Anolis sagrei: one gene and its partners. The protein of the gene in region 3 purifies or fractionates together with the protein of the main gene of each other region. This does not show direct contact. Links are inferred from orthologs where the notes say so. Each region holds a gene or a part of one and is shown on either strand. Other genes may lie near its edges. The genes, in order: SMC5, SLF1 and SLF2.

The links.
Region 1: the proteins of SLF2 (region 3) and SMC5 purify together in Homo sapiens (affinity purification with mass spectrometry; 3 studies listed by BioGRID and IntAct, with this or other methods). This does not show direct contact. The link is inferred for Anolis sagrei from reciprocal best matches to the Homo sapiens genes SLF2 and SMC5.
Region 2: the proteins of SLF2 (region 3) and SLF1 purify together in Homo sapiens (co-immunoprecipitation; 3 studies listed by BioGRID and IntAct, with this or other methods). This does not show direct contact. The link is inferred for Anolis sagrei from reciprocal best matches to the Homo sapiens genes SLF2 and SLF1.

What each region holds. Positions count from the first base shown.
Region 1 is NC_090022.1:222,264,677-222,272,183, reverse strand, and holds the start of SMC5 (structural maintenance of chromosomes protein 5), read right to left. Parts: upstream 3,070-7,507; 5' UTR 3,008-3,069; coding exon 2,832-3,007; intron 1-2,831. UniProt on the Homo sapiens protein: Core component of the SMC5-SMC6 complex, a complex involved in repair of DNA double-strand breaks by homologous recombination.
Region 2 is NC_090022.1:253,906,420-253,914,361, reverse strand, and holds the start of SLF1 (SMC5-SMC6 complex localization factor protein 1), read left to right. Parts: upstream 1-4,909; 5' UTR 4,910-4,994; intron 4,995-7,942. UniProt on the Homo sapiens protein: Plays a role in the DNA damage response (DDR) pathway by regulating postreplication repair of UV-damaged DNA and genomic stability maintenance.
Region 3 is NC_090023.1:215,161,277-215,168,685, reverse strand, and holds the start of SLF2 (SMC5-SMC6 complex localization factor protein 2), read right to left. Parts: upstream 3,007-7,409; 5' UTR 2,876-3,006; coding exon 2,754-2,875; intron 1-2,753. UniProt on the Homo sapiens protein: Plays a role in the DNA damage response (DDR) pathway by regulating postreplication repair of UV-damaged DNA and genomic stability maintenance.

The DNA of each region.
Region 1 (7,507 bases), on a different chromosome or scaffold from region 3:
AACTCCCAGAAATCCTAACAGCTGGTAAACTGGCTGGGATTTCTGGGAGTTGTAGGCCAGAAACATCTCGGGACCCCAGGTTGAGAACCACTGGGTTTTGCGGTAATAGTATGAAAGCTGGGTCCAGAAGTTCTGAGTCTTATGCTCTTTCTGCTTCGCTCCTTCGGGAGCGCTGTTTGTGTAACGCAGAACGGAACACAAGATATTATAGAACAGGGGTCCTCAAACTAAGGCCCGGAGGCCGGAAACAGCCCTCCAAGGTCATTCACCCGGCCCTCGCTCAGGGTCAGCCTAAGCCTGAAATGACTTGAAAGCACACAACAACAACAACAACAACAACAACAACAGCAGCAGCAGCAACACCAATCCTATCTCATTAGTCAAAAGCAGGCCCACACTTCCCACTGAAAAACTAATAAGTTTATATTTGTTAAAATTGTTCTTCATTTTAATTATTGTATTGTTTTTAAGTGTTTTTCCCCACTACAAATAAGATATGTATAGTGTGCATAGGCGTTCATTTTCCTTCAAATTATAATCCAGCCCTCCAACAGTTTGATGGACAGTGACCTGGCCCTCTGTTTAAAAAGTTTGAGGACCCCTGTTATAGAAGGAATGTAAGAGTTCTTTAATGGTAAAACCCTAAGCCTTACCTGAACCCTTACCCTAAACCAGTGGTTCTCAACCTGGGGTCCCCAGATGTTTTTTGCCTTCAACTCCCTGAAGTCCTAACAGCTGGTAAACTGGCTGGGATTTCTGGGAGTTGTAGGCCAGAAACATCTGGGGACCCCAGGTTGAGAACCACTGCAAACCTTACCCTATTTGTTTATTTACAGCATTTATGTGCTGCCCTGCTCACCCCGAAGGGGACTCAAGAGCGGCTTACAAGGTATATATTACATACAATATATTATATTATTAGCATAGTACAATATCAGCATTAAACATTGCTATATTGCACCATACCACTATATCATAATATTATTAGTAATATTACAAGTAATGTAAATATATAATTATAATATATTATTATTATCATATTGCAGTACATTATAATATTATAAATGTATGTATACACAATATATTATATTATTAGAATATTATTAGAATATAATACCCTAAGCCTAACCCTTCACCCTAATCGTAACCCTAACACAAACCCTAAACCTTACCCTAACGAGGATGAGGGAGAGGGCCTTCTCTATGGTGGCCCCCCGACTCTGGAACTCACTCCCTAAAGATATCAGACAAGCCCGCACTTTGGCAGTCTTTAGGAAGAGCTTGAAAACGTGGCTGTTCTAGTGTGCCTTCCCTGAATAAAGGAAATAAGCCCCTGATCTGACCAATTTTCTACTATACATCCTCTGCACTTTATCCGTTGGATTGATCTCCCTACATCACCCTCTAAAACCCCCATGTTTAGACATACCCTACTCTGTACAAACCCAGTGTTTTTAATTTTTTTCTATTACATTTGGCCCTGCTATAGTGTTTTAAATCTTGTGTTATTGCTTATATGTTTATGTTTTTATATTGTTTTATTTGCTTGTTTGCTTTGTTGATGTACTGTTGTATTTGTATTTGATGGGCTTGGCCTCATGTAAGCCACCTCAAGTCCCTTTGGGGAGATGGTGGCGGGGTATAAATAAAGTTTTTTATTATTATTACTAGCTGTCCCCTGCCACACGTTGCTGTGGCCCAGTCTATTGATCTGGAAAATAAAGTAATTAGAAAGTGTTGGTTTCTAATATATGTAATTTCTTTATGCTTGTGGGTAAACAGTATTTCTGTTTCTATGTCAGTGTTGATGTGGAGAGTGTCTGGTTTGCCCACCCTGGAACATGCAACATATTGTCCTTCTTTAAGGGTCCCTTTCAAATTTATGATACTATATCTCTATGTGTGTGAATCAGATCTGTCTATCTATACCTATGGCTGGATGGCTCTTTGTCAGGAGGACTTTGATTACGTTTTCTTGACCTGATGAGGGGAATTGAATTGAATGGCCTTAAGTATTTTCTGTTGGTCATGGGAGTTCTGTGTGGGAAGTTTGCCCCGATTCTGTGGTTTGTGGAGTTCAGAACGCTCTTTGATTATAGGTATACTGTGAATCCCAGTGACTACAACTCCCAAATGTCAAGGTCTATTTCCCCCCAAACTCCATCTGTGTTCATATTTGGGCGTACTGAGTGTTTGTGCCAAGTTTGCTCCAGATCCATCATTGTTTGAGTCCACAGTTCTCTCTGGTTGTAGGTGAACTACAACTCCCAAACTCAAGATCAGTGCCCACCAAACCCTTCCAGTATTTTCTGTTGGTCAGGGGAGTTCTGTGTGCCAAGTATGGTTCAATTCCATCGTTGATGGAGTTTAGAATGCTCTTTGATTGTAGGTGAACTATAAATCCCAGCAACTACAACTCCCAAATGACAAAATCATAATTTTTGAGTGATGGTCACTCCTTGTGTTGTGAGACGTTTTGTTGCCAAATTTGGTGTGATTTCGTTCATTGGTTCTTTTGTTTTTAAGGTACTCACTATGTACAGAGCATTTTATATATATATAGATTATTATTATTATTATTATTATTACTACCCTAAGCCTAACCGGTGACCCAGCTATCATACTATCACCCAAACTATGACCCGGAGCTGAATTGTGTGTCTTGACTGGGGACTCCTTCTGCAGTGAGAGAACCCTCCGCCCTGTGCCAGGACCATCCAGCATCTCCACCCACTGAGCGCGCTCCTCCCTCTTTTATAGGAGCGCTGTCTCCATGGTAACCCAAAGCCCCGTGCCAAGTCCTCACCCCCCCCCCCCCCCCCCCCACTTACAGGAAGTTCTCCATAGATATCCGCAGGATAGCACCTTCTACAAAGCGCGACGCTCCTTCCCGCTGGGTACCAGCTTCCGGCTCTGCCACCTCCACGCTCCGCTGGCCCCTGCGGCGGCTGCCACTGCTCTCTCCGGCTTCGGCGCCCTTTGACTTGCGCTTGGCAGGAGTCGCCATCTTTACGGCTTCCCGCAACGGCACTTCTTGTTGCGAGGGTTGAGAAAAGCGGCAATGGAACGCCCATCGCCCATTGGCCGGCTCGGCAGAACGTCATGCGGAGGTCGTTTGTCATTGGCTGGGCTCAGAAATATGCCCCTCCCTTTAGAAAACAGTTAAAAACCTGAACTGGGTTCTGATTGGTCACGGAGGAGGAGCGCGGGAACACACAAAGGCGGTGTCACGCTGGGATTGGCTAGTGGCGCGTGCCGCCTTGTTCACGTGGTGCGGCTGGGGCTACTCGATACGCGGAAGAAACCCCAAGATTTTCCTTATGGCTCCTACACTATATGGAGAGGGGAAAACTACGATTCCCATGGTCCCTTGCGCCAGAAATCATTGCGAGTTAGGTTTTGGTGGCGCAGGGCTTACTGGGAAATGTAGTCACTGTAGCTATAGACCTTCAGGTTATGTTGAGCTGCAGATTCTAGAGCAGGCATGGGCAAACTTCGGCCCTCCAGGTGTTTGGACTTTAGGAATTGTGGGAGCTGAAGTCCAAAACACCTGGAGGACCAAGTTTGCCCATGCAGTGAAGAATCAATGCAGCTTGACAGATTAATGTAGTATCAATACAGTCTGACAGATCAACTGCCATGGTTCAATGCTCTAAAGAGTTGTAGCTTTTCCTTATGGCTCCTACACTATATGGAGAGGAGAAAACTACGATTCCCGTTGTCCTTTGCGCCAGAAATCATTACGAGTTAGGTTTTGGTAGCACAGGGCTTACTGGGAAATGTAGTCGTCGTGCCTATAGACCTTCAGTTTCACCTGCTGAGCTGCAGAGTCTATATCAGGCATGGGCAAACTTCAGCCCTCCAGGTGTCTTGGACTTCAACTCCCACAAATCTATTAAGGAGCAAGCTCAGAATTAAAGTATAATTAGGGTATGTGGTGTCAATTATCTATCACTGACATAAGGCAGAAGGAACAGATCTGCCACTCCTCCATTACTGTTACCTTTCAGCCTCCCTGTACCAATAACTTGGCTGTCTCAAACTCCCCTCTTTCTTGCTTCGTAGTAAAGATAAAGGTTTTCCCCTGACAGTCGTGTCCGACTCTGGTGGTTGGTGCTTTCTAGGCCGGTGTTGTCCGTAGACACCTCCAAGATCATGTGGCCAGCATGACTGCATGGAGTGCCGTTACCTTCCAGACGAAGCAGTACCTATTGATCTACTCACATTTGCATGTTTTTGAACTGCTAGGTTGGCAGAAGCTGGGGCTAACAGCAGAAGCTCACGCCGCTCCTCGGATTTGAACCTGTGACCAGGCCCGTAGCCAGGATTTCGTTTCGGGGGGGGGGGGGGGCTGAATTTTTTTTCAGGGGGATTTCGGGGGGGGCTGAGTTTCGGGGGGGGGCTGAGTCTGAGTGAAAGAGGGTCTAGCCTAGCAAACCTTTTGTATCATTACCCCAATACCCCCATGCATATGGGATATATTGAGCATGGTGATCAGATCATGATAGGAATAAACATAACAGTTTAAATAATGCACCAGTAAGGCCTTTTCACGAACCACCATGAAAATTTGGGGGGGGGGGGGCTGAAGCCCCCCGGAGCGCCCCCCCCCCCCCCCCCCCCCCGCTACATGCCTGCCTGTGACCTTTCGGTCAACAAGCTCAGCAGCTCAGCGGTTTAACACACTGCTCTACCAGGGGCTCCTTGCTTCATACAGTGATGGAAATACTGTGCCTTTCTACCTGCCCTCTGTTTAAAGCAATACTCTGTTTTGCATGTATTTTATAGAAGTGCACTTTAATATGTATCTTTTATGGAAACATATTTAAAATGTATTTTAATTTTTTTACAGTGTTTGTTTTTTTACTATGCTGTAACTCACCTAAAGCCACAAAGAGAGAATCATAGAATCACAAAGTTGGAAGAGACCTCGTGGCCCATGCCAAGAAGCCGGGGAGAGGTAAGAAATAAAATTATTATTATTATTATTATTATTATTATTATTATTATTATATTTTTCTAATTTTTTCTCCACCTACAATTTTTCTTTCTGGTCTTTTGTCTATCCTTTACTCTCAATTTTCTCCCTTGGTCAGTTCAATTCAGTCTTGAGTTCTCTGTCCATATTTTTCCCTCTTACGATTTATGCATTTTCCTTTCAACCCGCAGCACGCACCTTGACATCTTCAAATTCAATTGAATGGTGATTGCACATATTGCGCCATTTGCTTCCAGAAAGATGGTCTCCAGCACTGCCAGTCAAAAAAACATAATGATGTTTTTATACTGTCTTTATTAATTTTCTATGTGAAAAAGATAGACAAAATAAACATTTGGGATTATAACAAAAAATAAACAGTGGGAGAATCCAAGAGGTTTGTGGATGGAATACTTTAAAATCAGAGCCCCCTGCAAAAATTAATAAGGGATGAATGATCAAGGGTCTGGAGAACAAGCCCTATGAGGAGTGGCTTAAAGAGCTGAGCATGTTTAGCCTGAAGAAGAGAAAACAGAGAGGAGACATGATTGCCATGCATAAATATGTGAGAGGAAGCAAGCTGCTGCCCTGGAGACTAGGATGCGGAACAATGGCTTTAAACTACAAGAAAGGAGATTCCACCTGAACATTAGGAAGAACTTCCTGACTGTGAGAGCCGTTCAGCAGTGGAACTCTCTGCCCTGGAGTGTGGTGGAGGCTCCTTCTTTGGAGACTTTGAAACAGAGACTGGATGGCCATCTGTCAGGGATGCTTTGAATGTGATTTTCCTGCTTCTTGGCAGGGGTTGGACTGGATGGCCCATGAGATCTCTTCCAACTCTATGATTCTATGATTCCAGGTCAAGGTCTTAGTTGATCTAGAAGATAACCTTTGTATTTCCACCAGGTGGCAGCAGTGTATTCGAATTAGTTCCTGGTGACACTGTGTTTTCCAAATATACTCTTGCATGTCTTTAAGTTCTTTCCAATTTATGGAAGTCTAAGGCAACCGTATCATAGGGTTTTTGTGGCAAAGTCCAGAGGGGATTTGACTTTGCCTTCCTCTGAGGCTGGATCCACACTGCCACGTAATTCAGTTTCAGAATGCAGATTACCTGCTTAAAACTAGATTATATGAGTCTACACTGCCATAATCCAGTTCAATGCAGTAAATCTGCACTCAGAAACTGGCTTATATGGTAGTGTAGATGGGTCCTGAGAGAGTGGCTTACCCAAGGTCATCCTGTGAGTTTCCATGGCTGAGTGAGGATTTGAACCCTGATTCCATGCCGTTCAAACTACACCATGTTGGCTTTCTTTTACAAGTATTTTGCAAGACATTTAAGACTTCATTTAAAATATCCAGTTGCAAAAAAAAGATATCATGAGATGTACTGTCAATCCTCAGTGACTGGTATAGGGCATATACATTTATTTATTTATTTATTTATACGTGAACTTAAAGGAAATAATGTAATATTTTAAAGATGTATTTAGAAATTAGGGGTAATGACAAATGAGATAGAAGGATATTGCAAAGAAGAAAAAGAGATAAATTATTTATTTATCGTGTCATTAGCAACCATACCATTGTGTTACAATTCTAACAGAACAAAACAAACACACAGATTAAAAAGAAAAAGGGAAAAAAAACACAGATTTTGCAAACTTGGTAGTTGGTTAAATGTCCTTTGACCAGTATCTGGCCACTTGGAGTGCCTCTGGTGTTGCCACAAGAAGGTCCTCCATTGTGCATGTGGCAGGGCTCAGGTTGCATTGCAGCAGGTGGTCAGTGGTTTGTTCTTCTCCGCACTTGCATGCCGAGGATTCCACCCTGTAGCCTCATTTCTTAAGATTGGCTCTGCATCTCGTGGTGCCAGAGCGCAGTTTCTTCAGCGCCTTCCAAGTCGTCCAGTCTTCTGTGTGCCCAGGGGGGAGTCTATCATCTGATATCACCCATGGATTGAGGTGCTGGGTTTGGGCCTGCCACTTTTGGACTCTTGCTTGCTGGGGTGTTCCAGTGAGTGTCTCTGTAGAGCTAAGAAAACTATGTCTTGATTTAAGTCGTTGACGTGCTGGCTGATACCCAAACAGTGGATGAGCTGGAGATGTCTCTGCCTTGGTCCTTTCAATTTTGGCTGCTACTTCCCGGGGGATGTCAGGTGGTGCAATACCGGCTAAGCAGTGTAATTTCTCCAGTGGTGTGGGGCGCAGTCACCCTGTGATAATGCGGCATGTCTCATTAAGAGCCACATCTACTGTTTTAGTGTGGTGAGATGTGTTCCCCACTGGGCATGCATACTCAGCAGCAGAGTAGCATAGCGCAAGGGCAGATGTCTTCACTGTGTCTGGTTGTGATCCCCAGGTTGTGCCAGTCAGCTTTCGTATGATGTTGTTTCTAGCGCCCACTTTTTGCTTATTTATTATTTGCTTTATTTCTATACCGCATTTTTCAGCCTAATTCGGCGAAGTTTTGCTTGATGTTCAGGCAGTGCTTCTTGTAGGTCAGAGCACGGTCCAAAGTGACTCC
Region 2 (7,942 bases), on a different chromosome or scaffold from region 3:
GAACAGTCCAACTAAGAAATAAACAGGCCGAGACATCACATGCTCTGAAATAACAGTACTCTGAGATTAGAGATTATTGTTTCTCCCAGGAAGTATGTTATCTAAGGCACACAGCCCACCAGGAACAGAAGTTTTAAGATATGATTTCAGCTAGTGATGTCAAGAAGCTTCCACACATTAACTTTCGTAAATTTTCTCTTGTTCCATCACCTGAATTTCTCTCACACATCTCTATTTAAAACAACAACAACATGCATTGTGATTAAGAATGCTTTTTTTGAGCACCTGGTTTTTTGTTTGCATCCTTCTCTGACTATGGAAATTCTGAAACAAACGTTTTAGGCTGACTTCTACTGTGGCCTGTGGACAGCTATAGCAGCCCACCACCATCCCTCTTTTTCTTATGAACACAAAGCAAAGAAACACTTGTTTCTCATAAGAGAATTTCATACTACTCCTTCATACACATACCAAATGCAAAATTCAATAGGTGTGGAGAGGCCACTGTATATGGCCACTGTCTAAAACTTTCGGAATTTGTTTAGAACTCCTGAAATTAACTTTCCTATTCTATAGGTCTAGTTCTGTATGAATTCTGCAATGAAGCATGACTCTGAAGAACTAAAATGAACTTTATCATAGGATGAAAGTTTAACTATTTTTACAAAAAGACATTATACATAGATCATAGAAAGTTTATTTTTTAAATGAAATCAGTGAATTGTTATGTTAATAATTTTATTTCTCAAGTTATGTTGATTGATGATTTACTGTGTTTGAATAGGCAAAGAGCATTTGCTCCACAGCCTCCAAAAATTCTTCCACAAACTGTTGGGTGTCATCTTTGATATTTATCACCATGTAAGCACTTTTGTTTATCCATTCAGTCACTTCCGACTCTTTGTGACCTCATGGACCAGTCCACACCAGAGCTCCCTGTCGGCCATCACCATCCTCAGCTCCTTCACAGTCAAGCCACTTCAAGGATACCATCCATCCATTTTGCCATTCGCCGGCCCCTCTTTCATTTTCCTTCCATTTTCCCCAGCATCATTGTCTTCTCCTGTTTTCTTATGATGTGGCCAAAGTACTTCAACTTTGGCTCCAACCCTAAGAACTGCAGTGCTACTTTCCATCCCCAAAATAGAGAACATGTATCATCATGTGTGCACAATCATGTTTTTTTTACTGCATCACATCCACAATCACAAGTCAGAACTGTTCTGTCAAACCAAGCCAATAATAAGTGCAGTAAATATAGTAGCAAGACCATCATCATTTGGAGCATTAGATTCTTCTAAAAGGATCCCTGTGAGCAGTCCAAGAAGCAGTCACCTGGCTAAAGTGTTAAACAGTTGAGCATTCCCTATCTGGAATCCCAAACTCAGTAGACTCTCTGTTAATTAACGGAAGCAACTAGAACTCCCAAATAGCAAAAGTTTGACTGCCATTTAATTAAAATTGCATACTGCATTCACAAAGCTGTTTTTATAATTAAGTAAAAGTGTGTTACCTTAAAATAAGTTTGCCTTTGTCTTACCTTGTTTCTAATTACTGTATTTCAATATTAATATCATGTCAACACTGAGTTTATAGTGTCGTATAATATTGTATATAGTATCAGGCCTATTTTAATAGTAACTCTCAAGCAACCAGAAACCATATTTATTCAGTGCTACCAATCTTCATAGGTGTCAATTAATTGAGTCCAATATTCAAAATTCCCCACATGGATAGCTGACATAGTGACACATTTGCTTTCTGATTATTCAACATAAACACACCTCATTTCATGCACAGTATTACTAAAAATGTAGTATAAAATTGCAGTGGGTCCTTCATATCCACTGGAGTGGATATGCACCTTGCCCCCACCCCCCAAACCCATGTATGCTCAAGTCCCATTAAACACATTCATGTAATGAAATGCTTTCCTGTATATAATATGGTAAAATCAAGGTTTGCTTTACAAAAACAAAAACAAAAAAAGGGGGGGGGCTGCTTTCAAGTCATGGATGACTGAATCTGTGGATACAGAGAGATGACTGTACCTTACACGATGTGTGCATGAAGCACACATTAATTTTGTGTTTTAGACTTAAATCCTATCTACAAAACAACTTATTATTATGTAAAAATATGGAAGTATAAGTATTCCAATGAGGGGATCCAAAATATCCAAGCATTTCTGATAAGGGATACTTGACTTGTACAAGATCTATAATTAGCACTTTTGCTACTAGTAGAGCAGTACCACTGAGAAGTCACAGCTTTGTGTCCCCTTTATGGCTCTCAGCACAAGTCTATACTTAGACATAATCTCCTTTAAACTCAATGGGATTTACTCAGGAATTGAAAATACACAATGCAACAACTGAGTGGCCACAATAACTTCAGCTGACTTCCAAAGAGAGTAGCAGTGAATGCCCAGGAAATTTGAAAAAGTACGCCAGTTATAATAATGATAATAATAACCTTTATTTATATGTTGCTTTTCTCCCACAATGAAGACCCAATGTTGTTTCCAACATTTTAAAATACAATACAAAATCAACCACTCTCAACATATAAACATTGTAAACAATCACATAGTACATAAACAAACCTTTAAAACAATATACATTGTTTTGTCCTGTTATATCTTATTGCATTAGTTCCCCTTATGTTACCTATTAGGGCAGTGGCTCCCAACCTTGTTTTGCCCCTGTCCCACCTAAGCATCTAAATTCCTGATTCCCCCCCCCCCCCCCCCCCGCCCTCGACATATAGTTCTGATTATTAAAAAAGTGAAATCCTATTTAGGTGGAGGAAACTTTAAAGGCCTTTTTATGAGTGATGGTCACTTGTTGGCCTGATAGGTGTGTTGTATCCACATTTGGTGTCAATCTGTCCAATGGTTTTTGAGTTATGTTAATCCCACAAACGGACATTACATTTTTATTTATATAGATTTACAGTATTTATATAACACTTTTCTCACCCCTGGGGGGACTCAAAGCAGTTTACAAAAAATAATGGCAAAATTCAATGCCTTACATACATAAACCAAATCATAAATCGAACAGCATATGCCTAAGCATAAAATGCAATACAACAAATTTGCCGTAAGATAATAGGACATTCAAGCACAAAGTATAAAAATTGAAAACACCTAATAAAAACATTAAAATCACATGATCCAAACTCGTAGACCAGGTCATTCCAGATTATTTAATGTATTTATATGCATTGTTTTATGATTTTTTTATTATTTTAATGCACAATGTATTTGTATGTTTTATGTTGTAATGCGGCACTGAATATTGCCAATTTGGAAGCTGCTCTGAAGCCCCTTCCACAGAACTGAATAAAACTCAACATTATCTGCTTTGAACTGGGATATAGGACAGTGTGGACTAAGATAACTCAGTTCAAAGCAGATATTCTAGGTTATATGGCTGTGTGGAAGGGTTCTGAGTCTCCTCTGGGGTTGAGATAGAGCAGGGATAAAAATGTAGTAAATAAATAAAGTCTTGAGTTTTCTCTGCCACACCATGCCACACCAAACTACAACTCCCATTGTATTGACCCATGGCAGTTAAAAGTGGTGTCAAACAGCATTCATTCTCAAGCAGGAATGGGCAGATTGTGAAATTGTGTGAGTTGAAATCCAAAACATCTAGAGGGTGAAAGTTTGCCCATGCTTGGTGTAAATGCTTCACGACAGAATAATAATAATAATAATAATAATAATAATAATAATAGCGACCATTAGAACAAATGCCATCAAAGCCAGGATTGAAAAGTCTATGACAGATCCCAAATGTAGACTCTGCAAGGAAGCAGATGAAACAGTAGATCACATCCTCAGCTGCTGCAAGAAGATTGTGCAGACCGACTACAAGCAGAGGCACAACACCGTTGCTCAGATGATTCATTGCAACCTGTGCCACAAACACCATCTGCCTGCGACAAAAAACTGGTGGGATCACAAGCCAGAAAAAGTTACAGAGAATGAACACATCAAACTCCTCTGGGACTTTCATATTCAGACAGAGTTTTGGAGCACACTACTCCTGACCTCAAAATCCTGTTAAAAAACAAAGTATGAATCGTTGATGTCGCAATCCCAGGCGACAGCAGGATTGAAGAGAAACAACTGGAAAAGCTGACATGATATGTGGACTCATCTTATTGTGTTTCTAATAATAATAATAATAATAATAATAATAATAATGGTATAATAATAATAATAATACATCACACAGTCCGAGACACTTGGGAGGTGTCCGACATGTGATCCAATACAACAGCCAGCAGAGTGATCTTGTTTGCTGTGGACTCATCTTATTGTGTTTCTAATAATAATAATAATAGTAATAATAATAACAACAATAATAATGAAGGAATAATAATAATAATAATAATAATAATAATAATACATCACACAGTCCTAGCCGCTTGGGAAGTATTTGACTTGTGATTTTGTGACACGAAATCCAGCATATAGATCTCGTTTGCTGTGACATACTGTTATTTTTGTGTCAGTAAAATAATAATGATAATAATAATAATAATAGTAAGCCCCCGTAGAGAAGCTCCAGCGCTGGAGAATCAACACCCACTCGAGGCCAGGGATTCCTGGGAGTTGCAGTTGTGTGAGGCGGCAAGACTTTGGGGCAGAGAAGGCGGGAGGCCTTGTCAAACTACAACTCCCGTGACTGTACAGCCTGGAGCCATGGCGGTGGAAGCTGAGGTCTCCCCTTGGCGTCCCCCGTTCCTCCTCCCTCGGGTGCCACTTACCCACTAGGCCGCGCCCGCTCCCTTCTCACTCGGGCGCCACGGAGACCGGCCGGCGTCGCTGACAACGGGCCGGAAGTCCTGGGCTCCACTTCCGGGGGCGGGGCTTCATCTCCCCGAGCCCGCCAACCAGGAGGACGCGGAAGCGGGAAAGGGAGAGAGAGGAAGAGAGAGAGAGGGAGAGAAGAGCCGGGCGAGGTGGTCCTCCTAAGAAGGTAAAAGGCGCGGAGCTGGGCATGTGCGTTTTGCTGGCTTTCGGGTTGCGCTTGGGAGAGGGCCTCTTGGCCTGGCTTAGGGCTACGCTACAGCAGGGATGCAGCATGGCACTCCTTTCATTGATATGGAGCAAAAGGAAAGGGCTTGTGGCTGTTCGGAATGGTGGCAGATGAAGTCCAAAACACCCGGAGAGAGGGCCCAAGTTGGCCCATGCCTGGTGTAGACGAAGAGTACAATAGCGTCCCTTATATATACAGAACCTGGCTTCCATATTATTCTGTAGTACAGCCAGGCCTGTAGCGAGGGGGGGATGGGGGGGGGGTTAGGGGTTCAACCCCCCCCCTCCCGAAATGTTTCAGATTTTTTTTTTTTTTAAAAACCCAGTTTACTCATGAATTTTAACTGGTTAACCAAATCCGCATGCTAAGTCTATGAGATGCAAAAAAATTAAGAGTCCCTCCAGAACTGCAAACACTATCTCAAGCCAATATTTATTTATTATTTACCTTATTTATTTATTTACCTTACTTATATACTGCTGTTCTCAGCCCGAAGGCAACTCACAGCGGTTCACAACAAATACGAACAGCAAAAATTCAGTGCTACAGTATAGAAACAGTTAACAACCTAACACATTACACAATTAATAAACAGTTACTACAATACCCATTCACTGTCGTCTCGTCATCAAAAACATGTTCCAGATTCGTCATCCATTGTTCCATTCCAATGTTCATTAACCAATCATTGCACTAATTATTGGAACGCCTGCTCAAACAGCCAGGTCTTCACTTTTTTGCGGAATACCATTAGAGATGGTGCTAGTCTAATGTCCGTAGGAAGGGCGTTCCACAGCCGATGAGCCACCACCAAGAAGGCCCTATCTCTCGTCCCCGCCAGCCGAGCTTGAGAAGCAGGCGGGATCAAGAGCAGGGTCTCCCTGGAAGATCTCAAAGTCCTGGTGGGTTCATAGGCAGAGATGCGGTCGGATAGGTAGCTTGGGCCCGAACCATTTAGGGCTTTAAAGGCCAACGCCAGCACTTTGAATTCAGCCCAGTAGCAGATCGGTAGCCAGTGGAGTTGGCACAACAGGGGGGTTGTATGTTCCCTGCGCTCCGCTCCTGTTAAAATCATGGCTGCCGAGCGTTGGACTAGTTGGAGCTTCCGAGCTGTCTTCAAAGGCAACCCCACGTAGAGAGCGTTGCAGTAGTCTAAACGGGATGTAACCAGAGCGTGGACTACTGTGGCCAAGTTATTCTAACTTATATGCCGCCACTCCCCTGGGGTTCGGAGCGGCTTACAAGAACAGGCTAAAATCAAACACAATTGAAAAACAATTTAAAACAATTTAAAAACAGCAATATCAGAGATCAAAGTCCCGTCGAAACAGATATGTCTTACATGCCCTGCGGAAAGCTGATAAGTCCCGCAAGGCACGGACTTCAGGTGGCAGAGTATTCCAGAGTGATGGTGCCACTGCTGTAAAGGCTCTGCGTCTGGTTGCTGTTAGACACAAGGTCTTGACACTGGGAATTTCCAATAGATCATGGTCCTCAGAACGGACGGATCTCTGGGGTTGGTAGGGGGTGAGGCGGTCCCTCAGGTACATCGGCCCCAGACCATGCAAGGCCTTAAATATTGACAATTTATTCACACTGTCATTACTTGCAGGAATAGCCGATGTAGTGAAGCAACCAAGTTGGTTGTGTGTGTGTTGAATGCTCTCATTAAGGAGGCCAGACTTGGTGGAGATGGTTGACAGGGGCGGAGCTGCAGGCTATTGAAGGCTGCTCTGCCCCTGTTGTGCTCTTTGCTTCAGCGTGAGCTAGAAGGCAGGTTTCAACACATACACCCCCCGCAAAATTTTCAACTTCCCTCCCCCAAAAATTTCAACCCATCCCGAATTTTTTTTCTGGCTACGGCCCTGAGTACAGCGGAAGGAATAGGTTTGTATTCACAAAAGATCGTGCTAAAATAAAATCAAGTTAGATTTAAGGGTGCTGCCACATTTCCTGTTCTCCCTCCTTCTTGTATTATGCTCCACATAAACATTAAAAAAACCAAGATTATGGCAACAAGAATGATTGACAACTGGAAAATAGAGGGAGAAAATGTGGAGGCCATGACAGACTTTGTATTTCTAGGTGCAAAGATTACTGCAGACGCAGACTGCGGCCAGGAAATCAGGAAACGCTTACTTCTTGGGAGGAGAGCAATGTCCAGTCTCGATAAAATAGTAAAGAGTAGAGACATCAGACTGGCAACAAAGATCCGCCTAGTCAAAGCCATGGTATTCCCTGTAGTAACCTACGGATGTGAGAGCTGAACCTTAGGAAAGGCTGAGCGAAGGAAGATCGATGCTTTTGAGCTGTGGTGTTGGAGGAAAGTTTAGAGAGTGCCTTGGACTGCGAGAAGATCCAACCAGTCCATCCTCCAGGAAATAAAGCCAGGCTGCTCATTGGAGGGAAGGATACTAGAGACAAAGTTGAAGTACTTTGGCCACATCATGAGGAGACAGCAAAGCCTAAGAAGACAATTATGCTGGGGAAAGTGGAAGGCAAAAGGAAGAGGGGCCGACCAAGGACAAGATGGATGGATGGCATCCTTGAAGTGACTGGACTGACCTTGAAGGAGCAGGGGGTGGTGACGGCCGACAGGGAGCTCTGGCGTGGGCTGGTCCATGAGGTTACGAAGAGTCAGAGAGGACTGAACGAATGAACAACAAACAGAGTTGGAAGAGACCTCATGGGTAGGGCCATAGCCAGAAAAAAAAAATCGGGGAGGGTTGAAACTTTTTTTTAGCAAATCATGAAGAGTAGTTCGATAACACAACAACATTTTTAATACAGTCCAAAGATCCTTATTGCTCCGTAAAAGGTAGAAGATACAAGGTATGCAAGGTTAGTAAGGCCAAAAATAGCCAAAACTGATTAAAACACACGATGTG
Region 3 (7,409 bases):
ATGCTCTGTGCATAATGACTACCATAAAAACAAAAGAACCAATGAATGAAATCACACCAAATTTGACAACAAAATGTGTCACAACACAAAGAGTGACCATCACTCAAAAAATTATGATTTTGTCATTTGGGAGTTGTAGTTGCTGGGATTTATAGTTCACCTACAATCAAAGAGCATTCTGAACTCCATCAACGATGGAATTGAACCAAACTTGGCACACAGAACTCCCATGACCAACAGAAAATACTGGAAGGTTTTGGTGGGCATTGACCTTGAGTTTGGGACTTGTAGTTCACCTACATCCAGAGAGCACCGTGGACTCAAACAATAATGGATCTGGACCAAACTTGGCACAAGCACTCGATACGTCCAAATATGAACACAGATGGAGTTTGGGGGAAATAGACCTTGACATTTGGGAGTTGTAGTCACTGGGATTCACAGTTCACCTACAATCAAAGAGCATGCTGAACCCCACAAACGACAGAATCGGGGCAAACTTCTCACACAGAACCCTCATGACCAACAGAAAATACTTAAGGCCATCCAATCCAACTCCCTTCATCAGGGCAAGAAAACGTAATCAAAGTCCTCCTGACGAAGAGCCATCCAGCCATAGATAGGTAGATAGATATGATTCACACACACACAGATATAGTATCAGAGATTTGAAAGAGACTCCTGAAGAAGGACAATGATATGTTGCATGTTCCAGGGTGGGCAAACCAGACACTCTCCACATCAACACTGACAAAGAAACAGCAAGAAATACTGTTTACCCACAAGCATAAAGAAATTACATATATTAGAAACCAACACTTTCTCATTACTTTATTTTCCAGATCAACAGACAGGGCCACAGCAATGCGTGGCAGGGGATGGCTAGTATTTAATAAAAAATAAGACATACCCTGAAAATGAGCCATAGTGTGTCTTGAGGAAAAATAAATACAAGACAGTGTCTTATTTTCAGGGAAACCATGATATAAAAAGTTAATAACAATTGGTGAAAATGTAAAGTTTTCCCCTGGCATTAAGTCCAGTCGTGTCTGATTCTGGAGGGTGGTGCTCATCTCAGTTTTTAAGCCAAAGAGCCAGCATTGTCAATAGACGCGTCAAGGTCATGTGGCCGGCATGACTGCATGGAGCACTTACATGTTTTCGAACTGGTAGGTTGGCAGAAGCTGGGGCTAGCAACAGGAGCTCACTCCACTCCCTGGATTCGAACCGCCAAACTTTCGGTCAGCAAGTTCAGCAGCTCAGTGGTGGCACAGTGAGTTAAACCCTTGTGTCAGCAGGACTGAAGACCGACAGGCCACAGGTTCAAATCCTGGGAGAACGCGGATGAGCTCCCTCTGTCAACTCCAGCTCCCCATGTTGGGACATGAGAGAAGCCTCCCACAAGGATGGTAAAACATCTTGGAGTCTCCTATGCAACATCCTTGCAGACGGCCAATTCTCTCACACCAGAAGCTACGTGCGGTTTCTCGGATCGCTCCTGGCACACACACAAAAAGCAGTTTAATCTGCTGCGCCACCGGGGGCTCTCAACAATAGGTAGATGCTGGATAAAGATAGTTTCCTGTTATTGTCGAAAGCTTTCATGGCTGGAATCACTGGGTTGTTGTAGGTTTTTTCGGGCTATATGGCCATGTTCTAGAGGCATTCTCTCCTGACGTTTCGCCTGCATCTATGGCAAGCATCCTCAGAGGTATGGCCATGTTCTAGAGGCATTCTCTTCTGACGTTTTGCCTGCATTTATGGCAAGCATCCTCAGAGGTACCTCACTACCTCTGAGGATGCAGGTGAAACGTCAGAAGAGAATGCCTCTAGAACATGGCCGTATAGCCCGAAAAAACCTACAACAAGCCATATTTATTTATTTATTTATTTAAAGTACTTCTACCCCACCCTTCTCAACCCCCGAGGGGGGACTCAGGGCGGCTTACAAAAAGGCACAATTCGATGCCTACACAAAATACACATAATGTACAAAACCATAGTTAAAACAATTATCACAGTTAAAACAGTCGGTATATAACACATCAATAAAACTAATCTCATGCTCAGCGTTCGTCTTTCAGAGTTCCATAATTCCATTCCATTAGTCAATTCCTGTCCATCGTCAAAGTCCTTTCTTTATCTGCCAGATTGTCCTAATGCCTGGTCCCAAATCCATGTTTTCAATTTTTTCCTAAAGGACAGGAGGCATGTCGCTGATCTAATTTCCCCGGGGAGTGAATTCCACAGGCGGGGGGCCACCACCGAGAAGCCCCTGCTCCTTGTCCCTGCCAACCTCACTTGTGATAGAGGCGGGGTCGAGAGCAGCGCCTCCCCAGAAGATCTTAGACTCCAAGGTGGGACGTAGAGGTTTCCTGTTGCTTGAGAGTTCCAGTTAACTGAGAGTCTACTGTGATTTGGCACGACTTTGAACCATGGAATTACAGCAGAGCTTCCTGGCAGAGAAGACTAACCTTTGCTTTGCGTGGCTGCATCAACAGCTGAGGTTTGTAATTTAGAATACACTTTGACACCACTTTTACTGCCATGGCTTAATGCTATGGAATAATGGGAGTTGTAGTTTCGGATGCTCTTCAGCCTTCTCTGCCAGAGAAAGCTGATCCCCAAACTACAGGCCCTAGGATCGCCTAGCAAGCTTCCCTGGCAGTTCAAAGTGGTACAAAAGTGAGGAAAGGCTGCCTAGATTGTGCAAACAAGGGCGTTGCATGGGAAACCACACCTCTTGTGTTTACCTGCCAGCCTTGCCTTCTCGGCCCGCCGTTCGGCAATGGCGCCCGGCGGTGCTCAGGGGAGAGCGGTCAGGGTCGCTGCCCTTTCCCCCCTCGCCGGCGCCGTTGCTAAGATTCTGCGTCATAGCCCCCGACGTCGCCGCCTTTTGAGGAAACCTCAGGGTTCCGGCTGAGAGGAAACGAAACCCCCGCGCCTTCCGCACTCCATCGCGCAAAGGAGCGGAGCAAAGGGCTTCGGAAGGAAGAAGGGCCGCTATTGGTTGCGCTCAGGGGAGGGCTTCTTTTCTATAGGCTGATGTCACCACTTGAGGCGGGAGTAGAAACAGAAGCGCTGTTCCTATTGGTTGTTGGCGCAGAGGCGGTTCAGAGCCTCCTGTCTTGTGACCTCAAGCCGTCCTGTTTTTCCCTCAGAAGAGGGAGGAAAGGGAATTGGCTTCAAAAGGCCGCTCCTTGGCGCCTTCGGCTCGCGTCGCTTCTGATTGGCTGGCTGGAAAGCGCGCGGAGGATGAGCCTTTTAAAAGCTGTTGGAATAACGGCTGAAGCAGGCACATCTGACTTGGAGTGTTAATGCAGTTTGACGCCACTTTAACTGCCAAGGCTCAATGAAAGGACCAAGGCAGAGACATCTCCAGCTCATCCCCTGTTTGGGTATCAGCCAGCACGTCAACCACTTAAATCTAGATTTTCTAAGATCTACAGAGACACTCGCTGGAACACCTCAGCAAGTGAGGTGTTCCAACTCAGTATGCATGCTGCTGAGTATGCATGCCCAGACACATCTCACCACACTAAAACAGTGGATGTGGCTCTTAATGAGACATGCCACATTATCACGGGGTGTCTGCGCCCTACACCACTGGAGAAATTACACAGTCTAGCTGGTATCGCACCACCTGACATGCGCCGGGAAGTGGCAGCCAATAGTGAAAGGACCAAGGCAGAGACATCTCCAGCTCATTCCCTGTTTGGGTATCAGCCAGCACCTCAATGACTTAAATCTAGAAATAGTTTTCTAAGATCTACAGAGACACTCGCTGGAACACCTCAGCAAGCAAGAGTCCAAAAATGGCAGGCTCAAACCCAGGACCTCAACCAATGGCTGATACCAAATGAGAGACTCCCCCCTGGGCACACAGAAGACTGGGCGACTTGGAAGGCACCAAACAGGCTGCACTCTGGCACCAGGAGATGCAGAGCCAACCTTCAGAAATGGGGCTACAAAGTGGAATCCTTGACATGCGAGTGTGGAGAGGAGCAAACCACTGACCACCTGCTGCAATGCAACCTGAGCCCTGCCACATGCACAATGGAGGACCTTCTTGCAGCAACACCAGAAGCACTCCAAGTGGCCAGCTACTGGTCAAAGGACATTTAATCAACTACCAAACTCACACATTTTGTATTTTGTCTGTTTGTTTGCTTTGTTCTGTTAGAAATGTAATATAATTTGACTGGTTGTCCTGACACGACAAATAAAAATGAGGTGGAATCCTGAGAATTGAACTGTGGTGTTGGAGAAAAGTTCTGAGAGTGCCTTGGACAGCAAGAAGATCCAACCAGTCCTTACTTCAGGAAATAAAGCCTGACTGCTCATTGGAGGGAAGAATAGTAGAGGCCAAGATGAAGTACTTTGGCCACATCATGAGAAGAAAGGAAAGCTTAGAGAAGACTGATGCTGGGGAAAATGGAAGGAAAAAGGAAGAGGGGCCGACCAAGGGCAAGATGGATGGATGGTGTCCTTGAAGTGACTAGCTTGACCTTGAAGGAGCTGGGGGTGGTGACGACCGACAGGAAGCTCTGGCGTGGACTGGCCCATGAAGTCACGAGGAGTCAGAAACCACTGAACGAATGAACAACAACAAGACACAACATTCTCTGGCAGGGAAGGCTACAGACATTGTAAAAAAACCTCAACTCCTGTTGTTTATTTATCGTGTCTCAGGAGCGAACCAAACAGTTGTATTTTTTCAAAAAACCACAAAGTTTGCAAACTTGGCATTCTATTAAATGTCCTTTGACCAGTAGCTGGCCACTTGGAGTGCCTCTGGTGTTGCTGCAAGAAGGTCCTCCATTGTGCATGTGGCAGGGCTCAGGTTACATTGTAGTAGGTGGTCTGTGGTTTGCTCTTCTCCACACTCGCATGTCGTGGACTCCACTTTATGGCCCCATTTCTTAAGGTTGGCTCTGCATCTCGTGGTGCCAGAGCGCCTTCCAAGTTGCCCAGTTTTTTGTGTGCCCAGGGGGGAGTCTCTCATTTGGTATCAGCCATTGATTGAGGTTCTGGGTTTGTGCCTGCCACTTTTGGACTCTTGCTTGCTGAGGTGTTCCAGCGAGTGTCTCTGTAGATCTTAGAAAACTATTTCTTGATTTAAGTCGTTGGCGTGCTGGCTGATATCCAAATGGGATGGGCCGGAGATATCAATGCTTTGGTCCTTTCACTACTGGTTGCTACTTCCCAGCAGATGTCAGGTGGTGCAATACCAGCTAAACACTGTAATTTCTCCAGTGGTGTAGGGCACAGACACCCTGTGATAATGCAGCATGTCTCATTAAGAGCCACATTTACTGTTTTATTATGGTGAGATGTGTTCCACACTGGGCATGCATACTCAGCAGCAGAGTAGCAAAGTGCAAGGGAGATGTCTTCACTGTATCTGATTGTGATCCCTAGGTTGTGCCAGTCAGCTGGAGACCATGAATCCATACAAGGAGCGGCTTAAAGAGTTGGACATGTTTAGCATCCAGAAGAGAAGTTCGAGAGGAGGCATGATAGCCATGTTTAAATATCTGAATGGATGTCACAAGAAAGAGGGAGCAGGCTTGTTTGCTGCTGCCCTGGAGACTGACTCAATGGAGCAATGGGTGCAAATTACAGGAAAGGATATTCAGCTGAAACATTAGGAAGAACTTCCTGACTATAAGAGCTGTTCAACAGTGAAATCCCTGCCTTGGAGTGTGGTGGAGGCTCCTTCTTTGGAGGCTTTTAAAAGAGGCTGGATGGCCATCTGTCAGGTGTGCTTTGATTGTTCTTTTCCTGCTTGGCAGGGGATTGGACTGGATGGCCCATGTGGTCTCTCCCAACTCTGTTTCTACATTTATATGGCCTCTTCCAATCCCAGTTATATATCCATGCTTTGTGAGGTTAGCTACCTAGTCTGTAACTGTTTCATTAGTCTCACTGATGTGGAGATATTGGAAATATAGATATTTATACATATATTTTATGTACATTAGAAACACTGAAATGTAGAAAAATCAAGTTCTCTGTATTAGGAAGTCAAGCTGACAGCACAGAAAGAATGCTGACGTAGATCTGTGTTGAAAGGGGAGGAAAAGGGGGGTCATTATCTATACATTCCAGAAACTGGTACAGCTTAGCACTGGCTGTACCTTCTTACTTCTAAAAAGTAAGAAGTGGTGCTGTTTCTCTCCCTCCTGTAAGGTCAAAAGAAGGCACCTTGATGGATCTGTAGCTGAACCCTAGTATCTCTAATTTGCTGTAAGCTGCTCCTTAGATAGAAAAAACTGAGATGCCCCATGCATGTAAAAAGATATAAATTGATATTTCTATGATGCTTAAGGTGATGTAGTGATGATGTTACATATGTAGAAGCACGTTTCTTTGTTTGCCTGCATTTGAAGATGTATGAAAGGGAAGTCAATGCCTTTATCCTCACTCAGGTTTGCTCTTGGAGGAGATTCCATACCAGGGTCTCAGCTGAAAATAAAAACGTACTTTTCTGCCTCTCAAAAGGATCGCTCTTGGTATTATCTCTCCTATCAGCCGCAACATTATCAGGATTCATAATCTAAATTTCCATCCACAACCTCCTTGTGACTTTGTTCTAAGAGTAGAATCATATTTTCAGGATTTTTCAAATAAGGTCCTTGATCCCTATGCACTTTGATATTAGAAAAAGGTAATATAACAATGTTTGCCTTCAAATATTAGTTAGGATAGGACACAGGAACCTATAAGAATTGGCAAGGAATAGGTGTTGGAGCCCCGGTGGTGCAGTGGGTTAAACCACTGAGCTGCTGAGCTTGTTGACTGAAAGGTCGTAGGTTTGAATCCGGGGAGCGGCGTGAGCTTCCGCTTTCAGCCCCAACTTCTGCCAATCTAGCAGTTTGAAAACATGCAAATGTGAGTAGATCAATAGGTACTGCTCCAGCGGGAAGGTAACGGCGCTCCACGCAGTCATGCTGGCCACATGATATTTGAGATGTCTATGGACAACGCTGGCTCTTCGACTTAGAAATGGAGGTGAGCACCACATCCCAGAGTCAGGCATGTCTGGACTTAATGTCAGGGGAAAACCATTACCTTTACCTTACCTTTACTTTACCAACTGGATTTTCAAAAGGACCTCTTGAATAAGCATTATTCTTATTAATTGCTGTGTGTTGAACTTCAAGTTATCACAACCTTATGAATGAGAGACATCCAAGTCATCCTGTTATCAACAGCTCTATTCTGGTATTCAGCACGCAAGAGCCAGAGTTTACTTGTTTTGTTGCATACTGAAAGTTGACAACTGGGCAACAGGGAAAGTGCTGAACAGGCTGCGCTCTGGCACCACAAGATGCAGAGCCATTCTTAAGAAATGGGCATACAAAGTGGAGTCCACCACATGCGAGTGCGAAGAAGAGCAAACCACA